Linked DNA regions of Mytilus edulis. The main gene of each other region encodes a partner of the protein of the gene in region 2 in a complex. Links are inferred from orthologs where the notes say so. Each region holds a gene or a part of one and is shown on either strand. Other genes may lie near its edges.

What was found. Proteins that work in one complex are often made in the same cells at the same time.
Region 1: mediator of RNA polymerase II transcription subunit 12-like protein (region 2) and cyclin-C-like share a complex: the UniProt entries of both Drosophila melanogaster proteins name them as parts of the cdk8 module of the Mediator complex. The link is inferred for Mytilus edulis from reciprocal best matches to the Drosophila melanogaster genes kto and CycC.

What each region holds. Positions count from the first base shown.
Region 1 is NC_092346.1:91,810,278-91,821,512, forward strand, and holds the start of cyclin-C-like, read left to right. Parts: upstream 1-7,038; 5' UTR 7,039-7,189; coding exon 7,190-7,221; intron 7,222-11,235. UniProt on the Drosophila melanogaster protein: Component of the Mediator complex, a coactivator involved in regulated gene transcription of nearly all RNA polymerase II-dependent genes.
Region 2 is NC_092346.1:96,950,893-96,961,433, forward strand, and holds the start of mediator of RNA polymerase II transcription subunit 12-like protein, read left to right. Parts: upstream 1-5,309; 5' UTR 5,310-5,363; coding exon 5,364-5,474; intron 5,475-6,474; coding exon 6,475-6,540; intron 6,541-7,604; coding exon 7,605-7,643; intron 7,644-10,092; coding exon 10,093-10,197; intron 10,198-10,541. UniProt on the Drosophila melanogaster protein: Component of the Mediator complex, a coactivator involved in regulated gene transcription of nearly all RNA polymerase II-dependent genes.

The DNA of each region.
Region 1 (11,235 bases), about 5.1 Mb from region 2:
ACGAGTTTTTGACACTCCAAAAGTAATTAATTCCACTATTTTCGAAGGCCTTATTTGAACAATTTATTATCAGGTTTTTGATTGTACCATGTGTACTTGTAAGAAGAATAGATAATTTAGTAGTGGAACAATGGCTTGAAGACGAAATAAATCTATATTTGTAAGGTGTTTTGTGTAGTTTCGGAAGCCAATACATAGTTGGAACTTTCATTGTTTTTGGTTCTGCTTGTAAAGCGGTAGCTAAAAGTTTATGTTTGTTACAGATATCGTTTTCTGAAAATGAGTCAGTTGGAATGTTGGTAAATTGGTGATTTCTTTTTGTAGAACCTCAATGTAAAATTTACGTCAAACAATAATAATATTATTAGCAGCTTTATCGGCCGGGACAAAAACAAATTCCCTGGCTAGTTCTTTTAGTTTATGTTTGATACGAGAAATAGGTTTATTGTGGTTATTGTTACTTGAGTAAAATGTTCTTTAAAATGTTGAATACTTATATCAACAATGTTTATTACTGAATTAAAAAAAGAGTCCAAAGATTTTTTGTCAGCTTTTTCCCGTTTTATCCATTTCAAACAGTAAGTACGGAGTGAGTCGTGGATGATATCACGACACTCATTCCAATTTATAGTTGAAGGGGGACGATATTTAGGTCCTTTACTGAGGAATGATTTTAACTCTCGGTCTTGAACGATGTTAAGATCTCCTGTTATAACATGGGAAATGGGTCCATAAATGTATTTGGAATTACTGCAATTACATGAAGTAGGTGTATTTTCACTGATATTACCATCTTTACACAATTGGCTATAATTAAACACAAATTTCCGGGTAGATTTCTTGTAAATATAACAAATAGGAGGGAGCTCAGTATTATCAAAATATCCAGGAATTTGTTCTTTAACAGAATGGTCGTTAAAAATGCCAGCAATATTAACAAAATCAAAACCTTTATTGACATACTTTATTTTAATAAAATGTTTTTTATGATCTTCAGGACGATCAATTTTAGGAAACAGTTTAAAATAACAATATGCCATTATAATTTGAACGATTTCATACTTAGGACTGCTATATGAAATTGTGTTGCAATCCTCTAAAATTGTATTTAACTTATTAATCGGTGATGAACAGAGCTTTGTTAACAGATAATGTCTGCCGTTGTTTTTTGAAATAGAAATTAAGTCCGAAATATTGGTATGATTTGTCCGAAATTTTCTTTTATTACGATTTTTTCTACGACCATGAGAGCGTTTTTTTTCGAACTGTTTTAGAAACAATATCCAAAATGTTAACTGAATCGGTTCTTGATATATTGCCAATTCCCATGATATTATAATTTAAACCGAGAGGGTAGACTGTCTGTAATTTTTTAATCCAATTTAATTCAATTATTTTCCGTGATCGTACACACTTTGAATGAGATTCACCAGGCTGTTTATTTACTACTTCCAAAGGTTGAACTTCTAAATATTCAATAGGATGATTGTGCTTAAGGTGTTGTAAATGATACTTTTGAATTTATTGGGTCTTTTAAAACGATACAGATGTTCTTGAGTGCGTTTAGATAAATACCGTCCAGTTTCACCTACGTACTGAATACCGCATCCCGGTTTGTTTCATGCGAGTAAATAAATAAGACTGTTTGTTTTTCAAGTTATATCAGTTTCAAATTTAAAAAAAAATGTGCGACTATTAAATGTGGACCTTACCGTATTGTTGGTGGAAAGACGGGGACATGTAAGTCATTTTTTGGCATGACACTTATCGATAGAAGGGTAACTACGATTTTTATTGTTAAAAATATTAGCGATGGTCGTATTTTTAGATAAGCGTTTTGAAGATTGAGACGTGTAGATACCCTTTGAACGAGTTTAGTATTAAAATATTTTTCCATTTCTAATCTTCATATTTGTTTTTTTGTTTGTGAATTATATTAGAAAGGAGCAAAGACTGGTGTCCAGAATATGAACCAGCATACAATGAATTAAGTTATGTAAAAATGATAAATCTGTTCGGATAAAGATGTCAAACGCTATCCGTATTAATTACCCCGAAAAGATTAGGATATATCAGGGTATCGACTGACGTCTGACAAAATAGTAGAAAGGGGCTGAATATTGAAGTAGTTACTTTTTGATAAATATTCCTAAAGTAATGAACTAGAGAAGTTCTCGCTCGGACACACACTCCATAATCTAGTATATTATAAGAGCATATGCCTAACAGTATAATTAGGCAATAGACTTACTGCCTAGGCGTTAGCTTATTGCCTAGGATTTAAGCTTAATGTCTAATTTCACTTATTGCCGCTAACATATACATTTCTCTATAAAACAGGTTTGTTCAGATAATAAGCATACATGAAAAAAATGTTAGAATTTGTCATTTAAGGGCAATAACTCCTACAAGAACTCTTCTGACAAATTTAAAGTAAATTGACAATCTGTAAATCTCATCATACGTAACACTTAAGTTCATGACAGATTGTTTTTGTTCATATCGGTTTTCAGACCAAACTTGGCTGCTGATTTTCTATATTTATCTAAATGGTAAAAGAAAGAAAAATCTTTAACCAACATTTTCTCTTTCTTTTCCTGTAGACGGTTAGATATATGTCAAAAAGAATAACATCGGAAATGTGGTATCGGGAATCAATGAGGAGGTTTTGGAAACGGGCTACAGACTTATTTAATCATTTTATGGGTGAACCAAAAAGTATTGGCCACATTACAGAAAACTTTTGTGAGCTCGGAATGACAATCACAAGACGCAGTGATTAATTTTGCAGTTCCCAGCCAAAAGATACGATCAGAATTCATCGCCATGGACCTTGATATCCCAAATTCTTACTTCGGCTTTAGATATCTTGGTTTTAACGTTGAAACATGTCTTCAAGTTCCATGAGGCTGAAATGGTTTCCTTGTGATCAGTGGATTACAGGCGTAACTGTTACAGCTATCGGAAATTGTCGGAAATGACCTTTCTTGTATCAACTCGGTTCTTTCTAGTGCAAGTGACATATTTGGAACATACTCATATTATGTTAATGAAAGCACAATAGATATCTCGTATCAAGGAAACCATGACAGCCTCGTGGAACATGATGAAATGTTTCAACGTTAGAACCAAGATATGTAAAGCAGAGGTCAGATTTAGGGTTGTCAACGGCATAGCGATGAAGTGTGATAGTATCTTTAGTTTTGACTTGGAACTGCATAAAATTTTCCTGCGTCCTGGGGATCGTATATTCCACGCTCATAAAAATTTCGGAGTGTCTATTCGTTCGGTTGTCCGGCTAGCCGGACGAATAGCCATTACCTGCAAATTTTCTGTAATGTGTCCAATACTTTTTGGTCCACCCATAAAATATAAAAAAAATACCGAGAAAAATGATGTAACCAGTTTCCCGTCGGATACAGCCGATTTCCGATGTTATTCCTTTTGAAATTAATCTGACCGTCTACAGGGAAAAAAAAGAGAGAAATATTGTCTAAAGATTTTTTTTCTTTTACCATTTGGATAAAAGATAGAAATCAGCAGCCAGATTAAATTTTTTTGAATCTCTGTTTTGAAATCGTTAAGAATATTAGTGTCATCGTCTTCATCTCTCCTTGAAGCTGTATTGACATTTGATGGAAAAAAAATTCCGGTGAGTGTTTCATTGGAGAAAGTAATCGAGTTTGTTTTAGAGTGGTTGCTTTTGCGGCTTGCGCGAGAGCTTTTGAGAGGAACCTGGTGATGCACTTTGATGGAGTTTGACTGATGGTGGCTTCGGCCAAATATTTTATAGAGGTGTGTTCTGTGATTTTCCTCGATGTATCTGTGCAATGAGCCTCAACCGGGACCTTTTCTGAGTCAATTTTTTTACTTTTTACGAAATCAAAAGCACATGTCTTAAAAGACAATTTCAAAGAAAACAGGCAAAATGAAGTACATTCAGTATGTAATGTCTTATCATAAAATAGCAGATATGTTTGAACTAAAAAGTATCAGATATAGACCGATTTATATGTAAATCTATTCTATTTTTATAAAAAGCGATCTACCCCTTGAGACGCAAAATCTGACACCCCGAGCGACACTTCATATTTGGATGAAAAACTAGTTTTAAAATCAATTAATTTTAAGTAAGAAGCTGGTATTTGGTTAAATTACATGACAGGAATTCAATTCTATATGATACGGAAGGAAGTCGTCTAAAGAAGTTTTTTATCCAGAAATTTGCATATGAAGCCTCAAAATCTGCAACACGGAAAACTAGGGAGAGGTGTTTGAGGAAACATAGTACTAAATACGACTGCTTCTGCTTGCAGGAAATAGATTATGTTTCAGTTCATTCCGTGCAATACATTTTATGGTACTAAGAATTCTAAGAAAAAGAAATTTTGATACTTGAACTTACTTTGATAGTTTTTCTCCGCTTCGAAATTGCCACCCGGCCCGTGTCAAACATAGCCGACACCCCGCATGCATGTGGCGTTCTACAAGGTGTATTTGCAAAGAAAGAAATATGGATATGAAAATGGCACAAAATAATGAATGTACGCATTGTCATTCAGATAAAGCACAAACAAAATTATTTTCAGCAGAAAACAATATGGACCCTAAACATATTCCTTCCAAATTTATTATTTTATTTTAGACCGATGAAAAACCAAATATGTAGGTATATGATTAACTGGCATATAAGGTATTATATATTAAGAAGATTTTTTTAATAAAATTGAAAATCTTTTCCAGGTCATTTAAACATTTCCATACCGCTTCTCCTTCTCATCAGAAACCCTGCTAGTACTAGATTCAGTATGAATTTCGTTTTCACCGACTTATTCTCGCCCATTTGTATATTCATCAAATCATCACTTTCCTTTTGCAAGATATTTGTTTTAAAGAAGTCCCTGTGCTTTTTTTTTATGATGAATGATCAGTAACTATTGTTTAAAGTAAAGTAAAGTAATCTTTATTTAAAGTCGGTTTGCATATATACATAATAACAAGGAACATATGATCTTAAGAGCTCTTTAACCGACTGATATTAATAAACAAAAAATACATGTAATAACATCAGATACATATACAACACAAACACACAAACAGACAGACAGACAGCATACATATGTATCAATACATAAATAGCACATGCAAAATAAAAGCTAAGCAAGATATATATTAAAAGAATGTCAAATATCAGCACATAGTAGAATATATAGACAATAACTGTTTAGTGTCTTTAAATATCAGCTGTATTTGTACGAGGCTAGGAAACAAGGTGTATGCGAGCTTTTAGCGAGCTATTACACCTGTTTCGAGCCGAGTACAAATACAGCTGATATTTAAAGACACTAAACAGTTATTGTCTTTATCCTGCAATTAATTCTGTATATCATTTGTGTTTTGAAAGACACAAAAATACATATTTTGCATTTATTTTCGATTTGAAATCCCTTGAGGCCCGTGTAGTAATACGATATGTAGTAATCACACATTCAGAAGAAGGCGGGTTCGCAAAAAAAGAATCTCGAATGGTCAACAATAATACATCGCTCAAGGTGAATAATTATCTATTTTAACATAACAACTAATTTCAACAGTAAAAACAAATAACAAAACATTGTCCAATTTGAGACAGGAGTGTACGAGTTGTCCTACGCTTCAGACTCGACATTTACTTAAAATGCATGCTGAAATTGACATGGTTGTTTTTGTTACACAACCATACACATTCAAGTTGTTCATGTGTGTATGTTATCAGACAATTGGTGTGATTCTTATTGCTCTAAAGAAATGTTTGGAAACAAACAGAACGTATAAAAGTAATCGTTAATTCGCAATTGATACGTCATTGGAATGCGACTCCAATACACATTCTGAGGTCACGTAGGTTCATACAATACTCAGTCCGGCAGTTGGCGGAGCTTTTAAGCGATATCTGTATAGTATACAGATACAGCAAAGCGATATCTGTAGGGCTGTATCTGTATAGTAGAACACCCAATTGCAGGATAAAGTAGTATTTATATTAGAATAGCACATGTAAAATTAAACACTATGAACACAAGCAAAAGACTGCATGCAGCTAAAGCACACAATGCATAAGCAAATAAATAAATAAATAAATAAATAAATAAATAAATAAATAAATAAATAAATAAATAAATAAATAAATAAATAAATATATAAATAAAAATAACCGGCTGCAAAAAATAACGGAAAAGCGAAAAGTTATCCCCAATACACGGATGCCCCACTCGAACCGGGTATCATTTTCTATGTTCAGTGGACCATGAAATTGGGGTAAAAACTCTAATTTGGCATTAAAATTAGTACGATCATGTCATAGGGAACATGTGTACTAAGTTTCAAGTTGATTGGACTTCAACTTCATCAAAAACTAACTTGACCAAAAACTTTAACCTGATGCGGGCTGGGACAGACGGAAGAACGAACGAACGGTACGACGAACGGACGGACGGACTGACGCACGCACGAACGTAGGTGGGCATAACAATACCAGGCTTCAAATTCAAATCATTGGACAGCAAGGAGTTACATTATTTACAAGAGCTGCAGGTACAATTTATGAAAAAGAGCAGGTGGAGATAAAAATTTTAACTGTTTGAAGGCTAGAAACTGGCATTTAAATGTTTTGTATGGTTTACTCAAACCTTGGCCTTACCCATAACAACTATGTTTTGTCAATAACTTGGTTTATATCAGGTTAATTAGTGTAAATGTGTATTCATGTGGTTTTTTGTTTAAATGTACTTTAATCATTCTAATCATTTTCTGTGCTTTATTTTGTAATTCATTTGATTGTATAGCTCAAATTTTGGGCACCATGATTGGTTAATAAAATTATCTATCTACCTTAACTTTGCACAGGGAGAATTATAAATGTTTATTCGCTGGTTAACGATTACGTTCGTCAATTCCATTATTATTTATATTGTTACCAATATCGAGGGGCCTCAAAATCAGCTTCAAAATAATTGACGTCAAATCTCGGAAATGTCACACAGTTGGTCGGCATTTGATGCTGCGATTCTAATCATTTTCGGACATCCGGATCTTTTTTTCCCAGAAAAAATAATAACATTACAGATAGGACTCAACTAGAAAGCACCTGTTATTAATACCCCAGTGCGATACAGTTATTTTGATAGTATGAATTGATACACAGTTGAAAATGGCAGGAAACTTCTGGCAAAGTTCTCATTTGTATGTACAAAAAGAAGTTTAATAAATATTAGCATGTACCACACAAAAGATTACTATGAAAAATGAAATACTAAGGCATATCAGAAAAAAATCATAAATTGGATTGAATTCTTTTCTTTCAAATTATCAAGTGGGTGAAATAAAGGGAAGTCAATAGGTATAATTTGTATTGCCTGTTAATATGAGGCAGGCATTACCTGTAAATGGGGACGAAGTCTATATGAATTATTTTTTTGTAACTCAATTATTTGTCAAAAAAAAATACACGGAAATACAGTAACGTTTCCGATTTTGGTTCTGTTGTTAAGGATTTTAGTTGTGACGTTATTTAAATTATGACGTCATATGCAATGTAAACAAGAAACGCTATCATTAGGTAACGTTTTTTCATATCAAGGAATTATTAAAAATAAAATAAGTATTGCGCGTTCCTTCCTATTTTATACTAGACTGATAAATATATATTTTACTCAAAGTTTCATACAAACGAGACCGGAAAAAGGAAGTATATTGTACATTTCTGCGCAGGTCCGGAATTTCAAAACATGACATAAAAAAAATTGAACGATTTTGAGTTCATTAGTACAATGAAAAATTCGGGAAATTTTCCCGAATTTTTTTTTTTATTGAATTTTCTACTGTTATTGGGGACTTCGTCCCCATATAAATATTCTTTCAATATATTACAAAAGTTAAAACACAATATATCGTCGTGTCATATGTTTTTGTATGTCATATGTTTTCGTATCAACCACATTTCGTCGGTTTCGACTGCATACGCGTACATTGTGGCATGTTTTTCTGTTTATATATTTAGAACAACAACACTACTACAACTTGATATATTTAAAACATATTCAACGTCGCTTTTTAAAGACGTTAGAACAAATTAAATAAAACTGACCTATTTAGCCATTTTTATTTAATGTCAAAAATACGCATCACTAGAATAGTTGTGGAAAAAAATTCTGAAGGGTTAAAATAAAGTCCAGATATGTTTTTTTGCAAGTCAGACACCGGATCTTCAAGACGTATGACTGTCATGTGTTTTTTTGGCCGTTTTAATTACAAACCATCGAGTTAAAATTAGCAGGGTTCTTATATAAAATGGTTGTTCAAAATCTAACTATTCAATATTTCATTGACAATTTTTTTTATACATCCTTGATACATGAAGATGAAAACAGTCTTTTACTTTTTATATTTAATCATAAATTTTGAAAACTGCATTTTATTTTAGAAAAAATAATGTATTTTGTACAAACCAGGTGCCAATCTGAAATTAATCAAAATCTAAAAATTTCATCACACGAAACACCAACCTTACACTTTTTACTAGTAATTTTTTGTACTGAAAAGTATTTAATAACTTTTTTTAAGATTCAAGCGATCACCCGAACCACGACTTTAGAAAAAATGTATTTCCGGATTTTGTAGTCATTTCCTGTCCGTGTACTGATCCAACTTTTATTTCATACGAAAACATATGACACCGTTTTTTTGACATACAAAAATCGCAAAGTAATCGGAAACAGTAAAAAATCGTAGAAATCATTGACAAAAAAACTAGATACCTAAAATCAATCTACAGGACATGCTTTTTAAATTTGAGTAAACACCTAAATAGAAACTCAACAGTAAAAACCGTAAGCAGTGAAAATTGTTATAAGTACGAAAACACATTACACGATGATACATGTATCATAAATAATTAAATACATGTACACAAATGAAAATACATAAACATAAATGCATAATAAATATATTTTTTGGCAAACACATCATCCGCCAAGCCTGAAAGGCCGCCAAAAAAATAAAGATAAAATACTAACTATCAAAACAGTTAATCATGATTAACACCAGACATACTATTATCTTTTTTCTCTCTTCAAATAAGCTCCTTCCTTTCAAAATGTGTATAGATAATGAAAGGACAAAACAGCAAACCAACTCAGAATGTATGTAGATCCTGGGTAGTTAGAGGAAAACCAACATTATATTCAGGATGCAAGTTCTCTGAAAAGAGAAAAAAGAATAATTATAGTAAACAATATACATGTATGAAGTACAAAATGTAAATAAAAACACAATTGTAACACATTACAATTTATATACTCTGATGCTTAATAATGTTGATTATCTTTTTTCTGAAAAGTTCTGTACCAGCAAAATTTAAATGAAGCCCATCTCTCGGAAGCAAATGAGGAAGAATCTGGAATATTGTAGAGTAAGAAACTCTATACAAATTACAATATAATAAATTATTTCTTTTACACAATCTTTTTAACTCAGTATTAACTTTATTAACTTTAGCTCCAGTGTTCATGTGATCAACTGGTCTAGGAAGACTTAGCAAATGTCTTCTTTTTTAACTTGTTAATTAAATCTCCAAAATAAGACATAATAGTATCTACGGATTGAGACGAAGAAATATTATTAGTACCAACATGTACTATAAGGAAATCTAATGAAATTAAATCTACTTTCCCAGATGAAATTAATTCAGTAAGACGACCAATAGTGGCACCAGGAAAGGCCTGAGTTGTACACCCATCTATTCCACTAACATATTTAGGTATAGACGCTGACACAATGGTCACCCTTTTTTCTAAGAAATTCCCTGTAAAATTTATAATAAAACATCTGAAATATGTGCTGTCATCTTTTCTGCTACTGAAATCTTATTGTCTAATGAAATTTTAAATATCTCTTGTAAGCATCGATTTTCCAATCTTCGTACAATTGAATTAACTCCGTAGGTACTTCGGCTGCAAAAGCCCAGCTAGCCCCCCCCCTCGCCTAAAACTATGTGTAGAATATGACGACGCATCTATACCAATCTCAGTAATTAACTGTTTCAGTATTGTCTGAAATTGTCTATACAAGACAGGTACACATAATTTATTTTTTATAAACAATAAGCTGGACTCTTATCAGAAGTACAAACCAAAGACTTCATATTCAAAAAAGCTTGAACGGGACACAATGGAGAATCTGGTATTGAGACTAGAGGTATCAATAATTCTCTCTAACCAAACTGAATGGGGTTCGACCATTTAACACTTATCAATAATAGCTTACGCTTACAATCGAAAATAATACATGTACTATCCCTACAAAGCTGTTTATTATGATCAAAAGTAGAAACAGAATCTGGAACCAAATTAGATTTTCTAAACATAAGAAAAAAGGCATGTAAAATTAAACACCATATAGTAGCATCATGCGCACTATTCATATCTACATGTAGCTTATTATAAATTTGAAGTAAAAAGTGAGGAGTAATTGGAAAGGCCTGTTTTAGACAATGTGCCTTAATTCTACATAAACCTCTTAATAGTTAATACTAATCTCAAATGAAAAGCTTCAAACTGTAGATATTCTAAATCTAACAATAAATGCAGATATTTTACTGAACTAATATAATTCTTAGAGTCAACAGATTTAAAACTTCTACTCAGAAACTGTGCATATAATGTCAAAACATAAACTGTAGCAGGAACAGGAATAAGTTCAAAATATATACAAAACATAAAATATGATTCTAACTGAGTTTTTTATACGACCGCAAAAATTTTAATTTTTCGTCGTATATTGCTATCACGTTGGCGTCGTCGTCGTCCTGCGTCGTCGTCGTCTGAATACTTTTAGTTTTCACACTCTAACTTTAGTAAAAGTGAATAGAAATCGATGAAATTTTGTCACAAAGTTTATGACCACAAAAGGAAGGTTGGTATTGATTTTGGGAGTTTTGGTCCCAACATTTTAGGAATTAGGGGTCAAAAAGGGCCCAAATAAGCATTTTCTTGGTTTTCGCACTATAACTTTAGTTTAAGTGAATAGAAATCAATGAAATTTTGACACAAGGTTTATGACCACAAAAGAAAGATTGGGATTGATTTTGGGAGTTTTGGTTCCAACAGTTTAGGAATTAGGGGCCAAAAAAGGGCCAAAATAAGCATTATTCTTTGTTTTCGCACAATAACTTTAGTATAAGTACAAATGTAAATAGAA
Region 2 (10,541 bases):
TATTTGTAGATCTTACTTTGATGAACATTATCGCTGTTTACAGTTTATCGCTATCTATAATAGTATTCAAGATAATAACCAAAAACAGCAAACTTTCTTTAAAAATTACCAATTGGAGGGCAGCAACCCAACAACAGGTTGTCCAATTCATTTGAATATTTCAGGGCAGATATATATTGACTTGATTAACAATTAAACTCCTTGTCAGATTTCCTCTAAATGATTTGGTTTCAGAGTTGTAAGCAAAAAACTACATTTTACCCCTGTTCTATTTTTAGCCGTGGTGGCCATCTTGGTTGGATGGCCAGGTCATCGGACACATTTTTCAAACAAGGTACCTCAAAGATGATTGTGGCCAAGTTTGAATTAATTTGGCCCAGTAGTTTCAGAGGAGAAGATTTTTGTAAAAGATAACTAAGATTTACGAAAAATGGTTAAAAATTGACTATAAAGGGCAATAACTCCTAAAGGGGTCAACTGACCATTTTCGTCATGTTGACTTATTTGTAAATCTTACTTTGCTGAACATTATTGCTGTTTACAGTTTATCTCTATCTATAATAATATTCAAGATAATAACCAAAAACGGCAAAATTTCCTCAAAATTACCAATTCAGGGGCAGCAACCCAACAACAGGTTGACCAATTCATCTGAAAATTTCAGGGCAGATAGATCTTGACCTGATAAACATTTTTACCCCACTTCAGATTTGCTCTAAATGCTTTGGTTTTTGAGTTATAAGCCAAAAACTGCATTTTACCCCTATGTTCTATTTTTAGCCGTGGCGGCCATCTTGGTTGGTTGACCGGGTCACGCCACACATTTTTTTAACTAGATACCCCAAAGATGATTGTGGCCAAGTTTGGATTAATTTGGCCCAGTAGTTTCAGAGGAGAAGATTTTTGTAAAAGATTACTTAGATTTATGAAAAATGGTTAAAAATTGACTATAAAGGGCAATAACTCCTAAAGGGGTCAACTGACCATTTCGGTCATGTTGACTTACTTGTAAATCTAACTTTGCCAAACATTATTGCTGTTTACAGCTTATCTCTATCTATAATAATATTCAAGATAATAACCAAAAACAGCAAAATTTCCTCAAAATGACCAATTCAGGGGCAGCAACCCAACAACGGGTTGACCGATTCATCTGAAAATTTCAGGGCAGATAGATCTTGACCTGATAAACATATTTACCCCATGTCAGATTTGCTCTAAATGCTTTGGTTTTTGAGTTATAAGCCAAAAACTGCATTTTACCCCTATGTTCTATTTTTAGCCGTGGCGGCCATCTTGGTTGGTTGACCGGGTCACGCCACACATTTTTTAAACTAGATACCCCAATGATGATTTTGGTCAAGTTTGGTTAAATTTGGCCCAGTAGTTTCAGAGGAGAAGATTTTTGTAAAAGTTAACGACGACGGACGACGGACGACGACGGACGACGGACGACGGACGACGACGACGGACGCCGGACGCAAAGTGATGGGAATAGCTCACTTGGCCCTTCGGGCCAGGTGAGCTAAAAAGGAACAAAAAGCAATATGTCACACATCAACAAAAGACAACCACTGAATTACGGGCTCCTGACTTGGGACAGGCACATCCATACATAATGTGGTTTGGTTAAACATGTTAGCGGGATCCCAACCCTCCCTGAGAGTACTCGCATTTACTGACAGCTAGTTCCAAGCCACAAAAAACTGATAAAAAATCATGCATCTAAGACTAACTTATCAATCAGTACACATCCAACATCCAATGAATCAGAGAAAAATATGACCATACGCAATGCCAAGATACAGGTATTGACAGATTGTAGATCCATAAGTAGATCTTTTATACCTTATCAAATGCTATTTGTATATCTACGAAGCCAACGTTACTTTCTTGGGTTGGAAGGCATCTTGTACTACCTGCAATAGATGTAAAGTCTGGTCTTCTGTGCTTTTGTATTGTCTAAAACCACTTGTTCTCCGACTCTAAGTACATGTGCATGCGCTTGTTTATTATGTGCTCCAACAACTGACAACAGCTGCTTGTTATGCTTATAGGACGATAACTTGAGGCTTTTGACTAGTTTCTTTCCTTTCTTTAGTATTGGCATCATTATTGCTTCCTTCCAGCATTGTGGGACTATAATTGTCTGCAGCTAAGATTGAAGATGTCCAGCAAAGTATATAGTGTTGAGTTCCCTATAGGTGGTGAAGCATCTCATTTGTGATGTTATCTGGACCTGGAGACTTTTTCATCTTTAGCATTCTTATCGATTGTTTCATCTCACACATTGTGATGTCAATTTGCATGCATGATCTCATGTACAGGTGTTTTCTGTCTAACTCTTATTTCTGCTCTTACTTCTTTTTTACATAAAGTTGGGATGTTGGTATTGTTTTCTACCTCACAGCCTTTTGCAGATGCATTTGCAGCAGCTTTTCCTGTCTGTAGTTGTTCTTCCTTCAACTTCTAGAGTTATCTTTTGGCCTTTACTTCCCTCATAATTTAGTGCTTTTGTCAATCCACAGCTTTGTTGTATCTTTCTCCATTTTTAAAGATGATGTTTTTTGTCTCTCCATCCTTTTCACTGTCTCTCATGTTTTGTTCTAAGGTGTTTTACCTTGCTTTGTTAGAGTTTGATGTTATTCTCCTGGCTGGGGTTTCATTCAGCCTCTTTTCTTGCTCTTGTGAGTGCATCATGTGTTTCCTGAATTTCATTGGATCAGTATGGCTTGTAGTTCTTTCTCACACCCATTGGTAAACTTTCTTTTGCCGCTTGCATTGAATATCTTGTCTTGACAACATTGTCGATGTTCTTTCCTTCAATAAGTATGTCCTTTGTAAGTTCATTTGCTCTTGTTTCAAAATTTCCTTAAATTGTCTTCTTGGTAATTGAGTGAAAAAAATTATTTGAAAGAAAAAATCATTGTATCGACATCTTTCGAAACAAAAAGCTTGGCAAGCAACAAACCCTAAAGGTCTGTCAACTGGAAAAGAAGGAAAATTTAATAATCAAACATAATCAAAAGGTCTTTCCACGGAGAATCTATCTATGTATGTTAAAGTTTATATATTTACACAAATGAACATGAGTGAAAAGGTGTCTATAATGATTGGTTCAATACTGATATAAGATATAGTGTATTATGTAGATTAATAAGGTTAAATAAAATATGATATTGAAAGACTTATATCGGCACAACAAATGGCAATCGTCAGTGTTGATTTTAAGAAATAATTTTATCTACTTGTAGAAGGAAGATTTTGTCGATAAATATGCGGCTTGGTAAGAACTAAACTAGCATAGTCGGGTACAAAACTCTTATCAAATTTGTATGCAATAGTGTTTACGAAATCATCGGCTTATGACTCAGAGATCTTCCATAAGGGATCATGTTAGCTAGCTTGTGACCGGATTTACTCAATAACACGAATTCAATACCTCATATTGTCTTCCAAAATTCACATCAGCGGTCACCACAGTGTCGACCTTTTGCAAATGAGGATATGTAGTATTACTGCCACTGAGACAACTATCCACCAGATTTCGAATGATGTGGATGTTAGTAATCATATGTAGACGTCCGATCTTCATTAAAGAGAAAACCACAATCCATAAAGACCGCTAAACAGAAGCCCCCTTTTCATGTTAAAATAGTCCTCGTGTTAATATATGGATCTGAATGTTTCACTCATCACCCCTTTTTTTTGTTAGCTCTGGTGTTTTCTGTAGAAAGTGTAAGCAATTAAAACAAATAAAAATCATTGCAACTTTTCCTCATTTTCACTATAATTAGTGTAGTCAGCTTCATGTTCCTTCCTTAACTGAAGAAAAAGATGTTTTGTTTAAAACTAAAATTTAACATAAAGAAATTATGATCCATTCTTTTCACCATTGTCAGCCTTCAATTGCTATGTGGCGAAGTGTCGTATTTTCTGAGTTCAAGATCAGCGGCTTTCCTCGATAGGGAGTTATCTACAATTAAATTAAAATATAGAACGTTGATTTCGTTGTACTCTCATGTGCCATAGTTTCATGCTGCAGTAGAGATGCTATGTTTACTGAATTTTGTCTGTACCTTTGAAGTGCATTAGATGTTTAAAATTATAGGCTCTTTGTCAACATTTTGTTTTAAAAACTTAGATTGTTCTCAATATTATTTTTTTTTATCTCATATTGTTTGAATTGTATTGTGAAAACTATTGATGTTGTGATGTTACGGGTCCATAATTTGAAATAAAACTTCTCCTTCTTAGCCGATAATTTAAGATTATCTTTAATAGTTTAAGATTATCTTTAAATAAGGAATACATAATTATTAATATTATGACCAGTATTATGCATATCATTAATATTATAACTTTTATCATTAATATCTTTATACTGAATCATACAGCATATCCTTATTGTTGTGTTGTTAACTATTACAGCACTGAGACTTCACGATCAAATAATCTATTAAGTTGTTATTCTGTTTATAATTTTCTTAAGCTTCATTCCTGATAGTCTGGGGACTTCGTGTAATAAATATATACATTTGTTAAAAAAAAATCATTTGAAAATGAGAGATTGCTAATTATGAGGAATATATATATGAGGTATCACTGAGACTACTACCGGTATAACACATGTGTTATAGAAGTCTTGGGTATTATCAAAGAGTTGGGTATCAATAATACTATACAAATCCTTGGTAGTATTAAAAAAAAAGTTGAACATGAAATTGATGAATAAGCTTAATATTGTAAGCAAACCGATCCGTGCGCAGTCGACCCTGAACCTGTTTAAAAGTATGATCAACAACTGGAATGGCAACTCATGCAGATGTGGCACCTGCAGATCTTAGAGCTTTTATTTTTTTTATGTTTTCCATGCTACTTTTATTTTTACAATTTGCTTTATCTATTTCGTCTGCTTTGCATGTGCTTATCTAGTTTAGTGCTTTACTTGTTTGTGGTTGCTTTTTGTCAAGGATTTGTATACTATACAAATCCTTGCTTTTATATATCTTATTATGAACATTATAGTACTATTATTGCTTTTGGAATCATAGCTGTCTTACTTTGTGTATGTTTTATATGTCCTATATGTCTTACTATTGTATGTGTGGTTGTTGTTATTAAGGTTGGCAAAAACTCTACACAGCTTATGTTTGTAATGTTCATGTAACCCGATTAAAAATAAAATTTTCCATTTTATTCTATTAGATTTATATAAAGTAATTTGTCACGGCCTAAGAAAGATAACTCTTTATTTTAAGCGAGATCAATTGGGCGTTTCAATTACCAGCTGCAAAGAATACTACGGAAAAGACGCCGATCAACCCAGAAAATGTAAATTTCCCCAATCTGACAAATTTACGATGCAGATGCAGATGCAGATGTCTGCATATCCTTCACAGGAATTTAGACCTTTAAAAAAGCCAAGATTGGGACCGCCAGATGTATATCCACAAGAACCTAAACAGAAAGAGGTATTTATTTAAAGAAAGGAAGTAAATTATAAGGTTTTACACCCGATGAGCTACCGTCCATTATAGCAAATTATGAATGCGATTCATTGTTTACTTTAAAAGATTCCTGCATCACATCGAAGTTATCCACCGAAGGTCGCCGGTTTTTACCTGGAACTTCCTCAACCTATTAAAACTAACCGCACAAAATAATAAAAATGCTGAAAATGTCCAATCAAAAACAATGAACACAGAAAACTTAATTTACTATATCATATGTCATAATCCTGTGTCTAACAAATTAACCATAAGTACCGTGTTACGGAGAAATTTAGTACCAGGATGAAATAATCCAGCACAAAGAGAACAGTTGTGTCATAATATTGACATCAGGATTAGGTCAGATCATATATTTTCGTTTGTCACAGGAATTCGTGCTAATGCTTTTATGATGGAAAGTGTGGAGCCACTGCATTCTTATGAGATGAATATATATTTCATATTTTTCATGATTCCTGACAAGAACATTAAAATTATATTTTGGTATACAACTGACCAATGTACTATAAAATAACATTGAATTGCAAATCAATCTAATAAAAATTCATTGGTGTGAACAAAATCCAGGTATGCACATGTTATGGGAAAGAATGGACATGATACTCCTTTGGACTTTAGAATAGGTAAAACTGTATTGGCTTGTATTGATTGGCATAGACATAAAGAGCAGTCTGCAAAGAAACACTAGCCCTTTACCTTTTACTAACTGGTACACAAATGTAAATAGTGGTCCAGCATAAGTCACAAGGCAGATTGGTTCTTGTTGACTGGAAGGGCAATCATTTTCATTAAACCTTGATCAATGGACTTGTGAAAGTTACATCACAGAACAATACAAAAACAATATGAAAATTATTATATTTGAATATATAATTTATTAATATTTCGGGAGTTGTTTGCAGCAGTTACACTGTGTTTACAACCATGAAGTGGTTCATAATAATATTTTTTTATAATTTAGGATGAACTTACAGAGAAAAGTGTTAAACATGGCTTCAACAACACACAGATGTATAACATGGACGAGGTTAGTGTTAATTAAGTGATAATCAGTCACATGGATTATGTAGATGTCATGGGTATAGCATTTTCTTTCCAGTTGTTTATCAAGGACATTTTATGTGACTGATTACCTCCTGTCCCTTTTTTATAAGATAAAAAGTCCGGTTGCAAATATTACATTTATGTAAGGATTAGAAACTGTTTATGTGAAATGATATCAACCCTGGCTGATTATAACTAGACTGACATACTGAGTCACAACTAGTTAGACACACTTTTGCTAAAGTAAATGATACATTTCTGATCTAATACCTGCCAACTTTTCAAAATCTTTATGTTGGGTTTTAACAATGTTTAAGCACAATAGGAACAAATCTATCTCTAAGGGAGATGGATTTATATAAGTTCTTCTTGTCTCCAAATCCCTGTATTTCTATTGTATAATTGTATTTTGTGCACTTTCGAAAATGTAACAGTGTTTAAACTCAAACTAAAACCTATCTCCTGTATTAAGTGATTTAATCTTCATGTACTAGTATATTCTATTGTATCTCCTTTGAATGCTTGTTATGAGGTATTTAATGAAGGGAATGGAGAATATATAGAGGTTGGTCAACATATTCAATGGGGAAAATCGGCATAATTCTGTGATCCACAGTCAGTAGTGATAGTTTATTTTGAAATACATTGAACAAATTGTGTAAATTCTTTAGCTGGCTAGTTACCCATTAAAAAAAGATTTTTATGGAGTAACAGACTTAAAGTTGCTATTGTGAACAATGGGAACTACTCCGTCATTCTTTTTATTAATGCTTTGACATAAGCGAAAAAAAATTAATAGTTGTTTATGGTAAAAGTATATTTGTAAGATTTAAATAATAAGCTATATTTCAGTATTTGTTTTTAGTGTTTGGTCCAGAATTTCATTTTCTACATTATAAACCTGACAGGTAAATTTACTATTCAAGATCTATTTAAAAGTGTTCAAATAATAACAAAAATGTGTAACCCACTTTTGGGATTTATAATTTTGACTCCTTCTTTAATTCTGCAAAGATTAATCTAATAATTGATGTTATTTTGTTGTAGTATGGATCAGCAAGAAGAGAGAACATCAGTGAAGAAAAGGTTTGTTAATAAACTGAAGAAAATAACACTTTACTATGAATTATGGATATGTCATGTATATATAACATACATCTTCTTCAGTCACATAAATGCAGGGTTTCCCCTGGGTCAATTATTTTTTTCGCCACCTCTTTCGCCAAAACAATATATTTTTCGCCACTTTATTATTTTTTTCGCCAAGTAACATAACTATATTCATTGAATGTATTTTAAACAACTTTTCTAAATGAGGGGGCCACTTTACTTTTAATAATAAAGAAGATATAAGTCCTGGAATATAACAAAATTAATGGCCATGTTTTGATTATATAATACCAGTATAGTTCGTAGGGAAAGTTTCTTTAAAAGAAAAATACTGATGTGGCTTTTTGTACTAAGAAGCGGTTTTTACAACAAAAGAAAAGCTTTTATCACATGAAATTGATCCCTCATTTTATGTGGTCATAAAATTTAAGAGCTACTCTCATTCAAGGGGTTGTTCCCAACCTTTTGGATAGATTTCTTCATAACCACAGTTTTCTTTTCTTGACCATCGTAAATGAAAAAGTTGAGACGTAAAACTATGCTTGAAACACGTGTCACTCAAACGACTTTAAAGTAGTCTCCCTGATCAATTACCTATATTAAAGTCAAAGGATAATTAAAGTTTTAAATCGGAGATTTTTCTTGCTTTTGAACATTTTTCGTCACAACAACTGCTTTCTTTTATTTATAAAACTATCTTTAAAAGGAGAGGAGACGTCAAAAGAGTTCTTCAAACACGTGCATCGCAAAGTGGTAAATAAATTCTGTATGTGACATTTAGCGGAAGCCATTTAACCATATCATTTTGTCAATCAATTCAATCAACACCTTTATTAATTAGTCCTTTGTTGTCGATAGCTATAAAATGCAATCAGCTGATTATTGATTTTCTGTCCAAATCTTAATGAGGTCAAGGTGAATTCCGAGTATTGTCTGATAAGGTAAAGTCCGAGAAATTCGAAAAAAGTAAATAAACAAGATGGAGGAAAATAAATCGTTCTATATATTTCTTTCGCCAAATTCTTTCGCAAATGACGAATTTTTATCGCCACAACTATTATTTTTTCGCAAATTGCGAAAATGGCGACCGCCAGCAGAAACCCTGTAAATGTATGAAAATTGGTACTTTAAACAGTTACAAATTATTTTTTTAGAAGAAGCCAATGTAATACGTTCTCAAAGTAGATATTAGCCAATTTTATCAAGATACATATCAAAAATACTGTAGAGATTCCATTGATAAAAATCTAATTGACTAGTTCATTGATGTTTTTTTTTAATCGTCAATATAAGGATCTAATTCTTGCAATTATTACAAAATAACTGATTCAACTTTAGTATATGCTTGTTCCATTCTTGTTAAAATGTCGAACCAAATTCATCCAGTCTTTATTTTATTTATTTTTTATCAAATTAAAAATATGTTATTCCTGCCATTTTAAAATAAAGTTTACGATACTTTAATGATACATGTAATGATATTTATAGGAAAATTTGAATACAATGTTCAATAAATTTACTCATTTCTTTTATTGATCTTGGTTGTGGATGTCCCTCAATACAAATATAGGAACAACAAATGACATTTTACTTATTACAAATATAGGACCAACAAATGACATTTTAGTTATTACAAATATAGGACCAACAAATGACATTTTAGTTATTTAATACAAATATAGGAACAACAAATGACATTTTAGTTATTTAATACATATATAGGAACAACAAATGACATTTTAGTTATTACAAATATAGGACCAACAAATGACATTTTAGTTATTTAATACAAATATAGGAACAACAAATGACATTTTAGTTATTTAATACAAATATATAGGAACAACAAATGACATTTTAGTTATTTAATACAAATATATAGGAACAACAAATGACATTTTAGTTATTACAAATATAGGACCAACAAATGACATTTTAGTTATTTAATACAAATATAGGAACAACAAATGACATTTTAGTTATTTAATACAAATATATAGGAACAACAAATGACATTTTAGTTATTACAAATATAGGACCAACAAATGACATTTTAGTTATTTAATACAAATATAGGAACAACAAATGACATTTTAGTTATTACAAATATAGGACCAACAAATGACATTTTAGTTATTTAATACAAATATATAGGAACAACAAATGACATTTTAGTTATTACAAATATAGGACCAACAAATGACATTTTAGTTATTTAATACAAATATAGGAACAACAAATGACATTTTAGTTATTACAAATATAGGAACAACAAATGACATTTTAGTTATTTAATACAAATATATAGGAACAACAAATGACATTTTAGTTATTACAAATATAGGACCAACAAATGACATTTTATTTATTAATTATATCATGTATGTATTAGAAATAGCTTATCTTACTTTGTTATACTTAACAGTTTGGATCAGAATTTATTGCTCTACTTAACAAGAAGAAAGAATTCAACACATTTCAAGATACCTCCAAAAAGAAACAACAGCCATCCAAAGATAATTTCTGGCCAGTAAGTTCATTACATTACTCACATTATATTGGAACTTGTGGAAATTGAGTCAAAGTGTTTATTGATGTAAAATCCTAAATTTGGATATGAGACTATGCTAATGCATCAATGTTTCTGATAAGTTTTTCAAGAAAATATCAAGTTAATCTAAGTCACAATATGAGTTGTGAACCTTCAGATAGAGATTACTATGTAATACAAAGATAGAGATCACTATGAAACAAGGCTTCCAAAACGGTCATATATTCCGGTCATTTGTATAATGTCCGGTAAAAGACCGGCTGGGCAAAGCATGAAACGGTCATATACTTTTTAGTTTTCTAGGCTTTTTCGGTCATTTTATA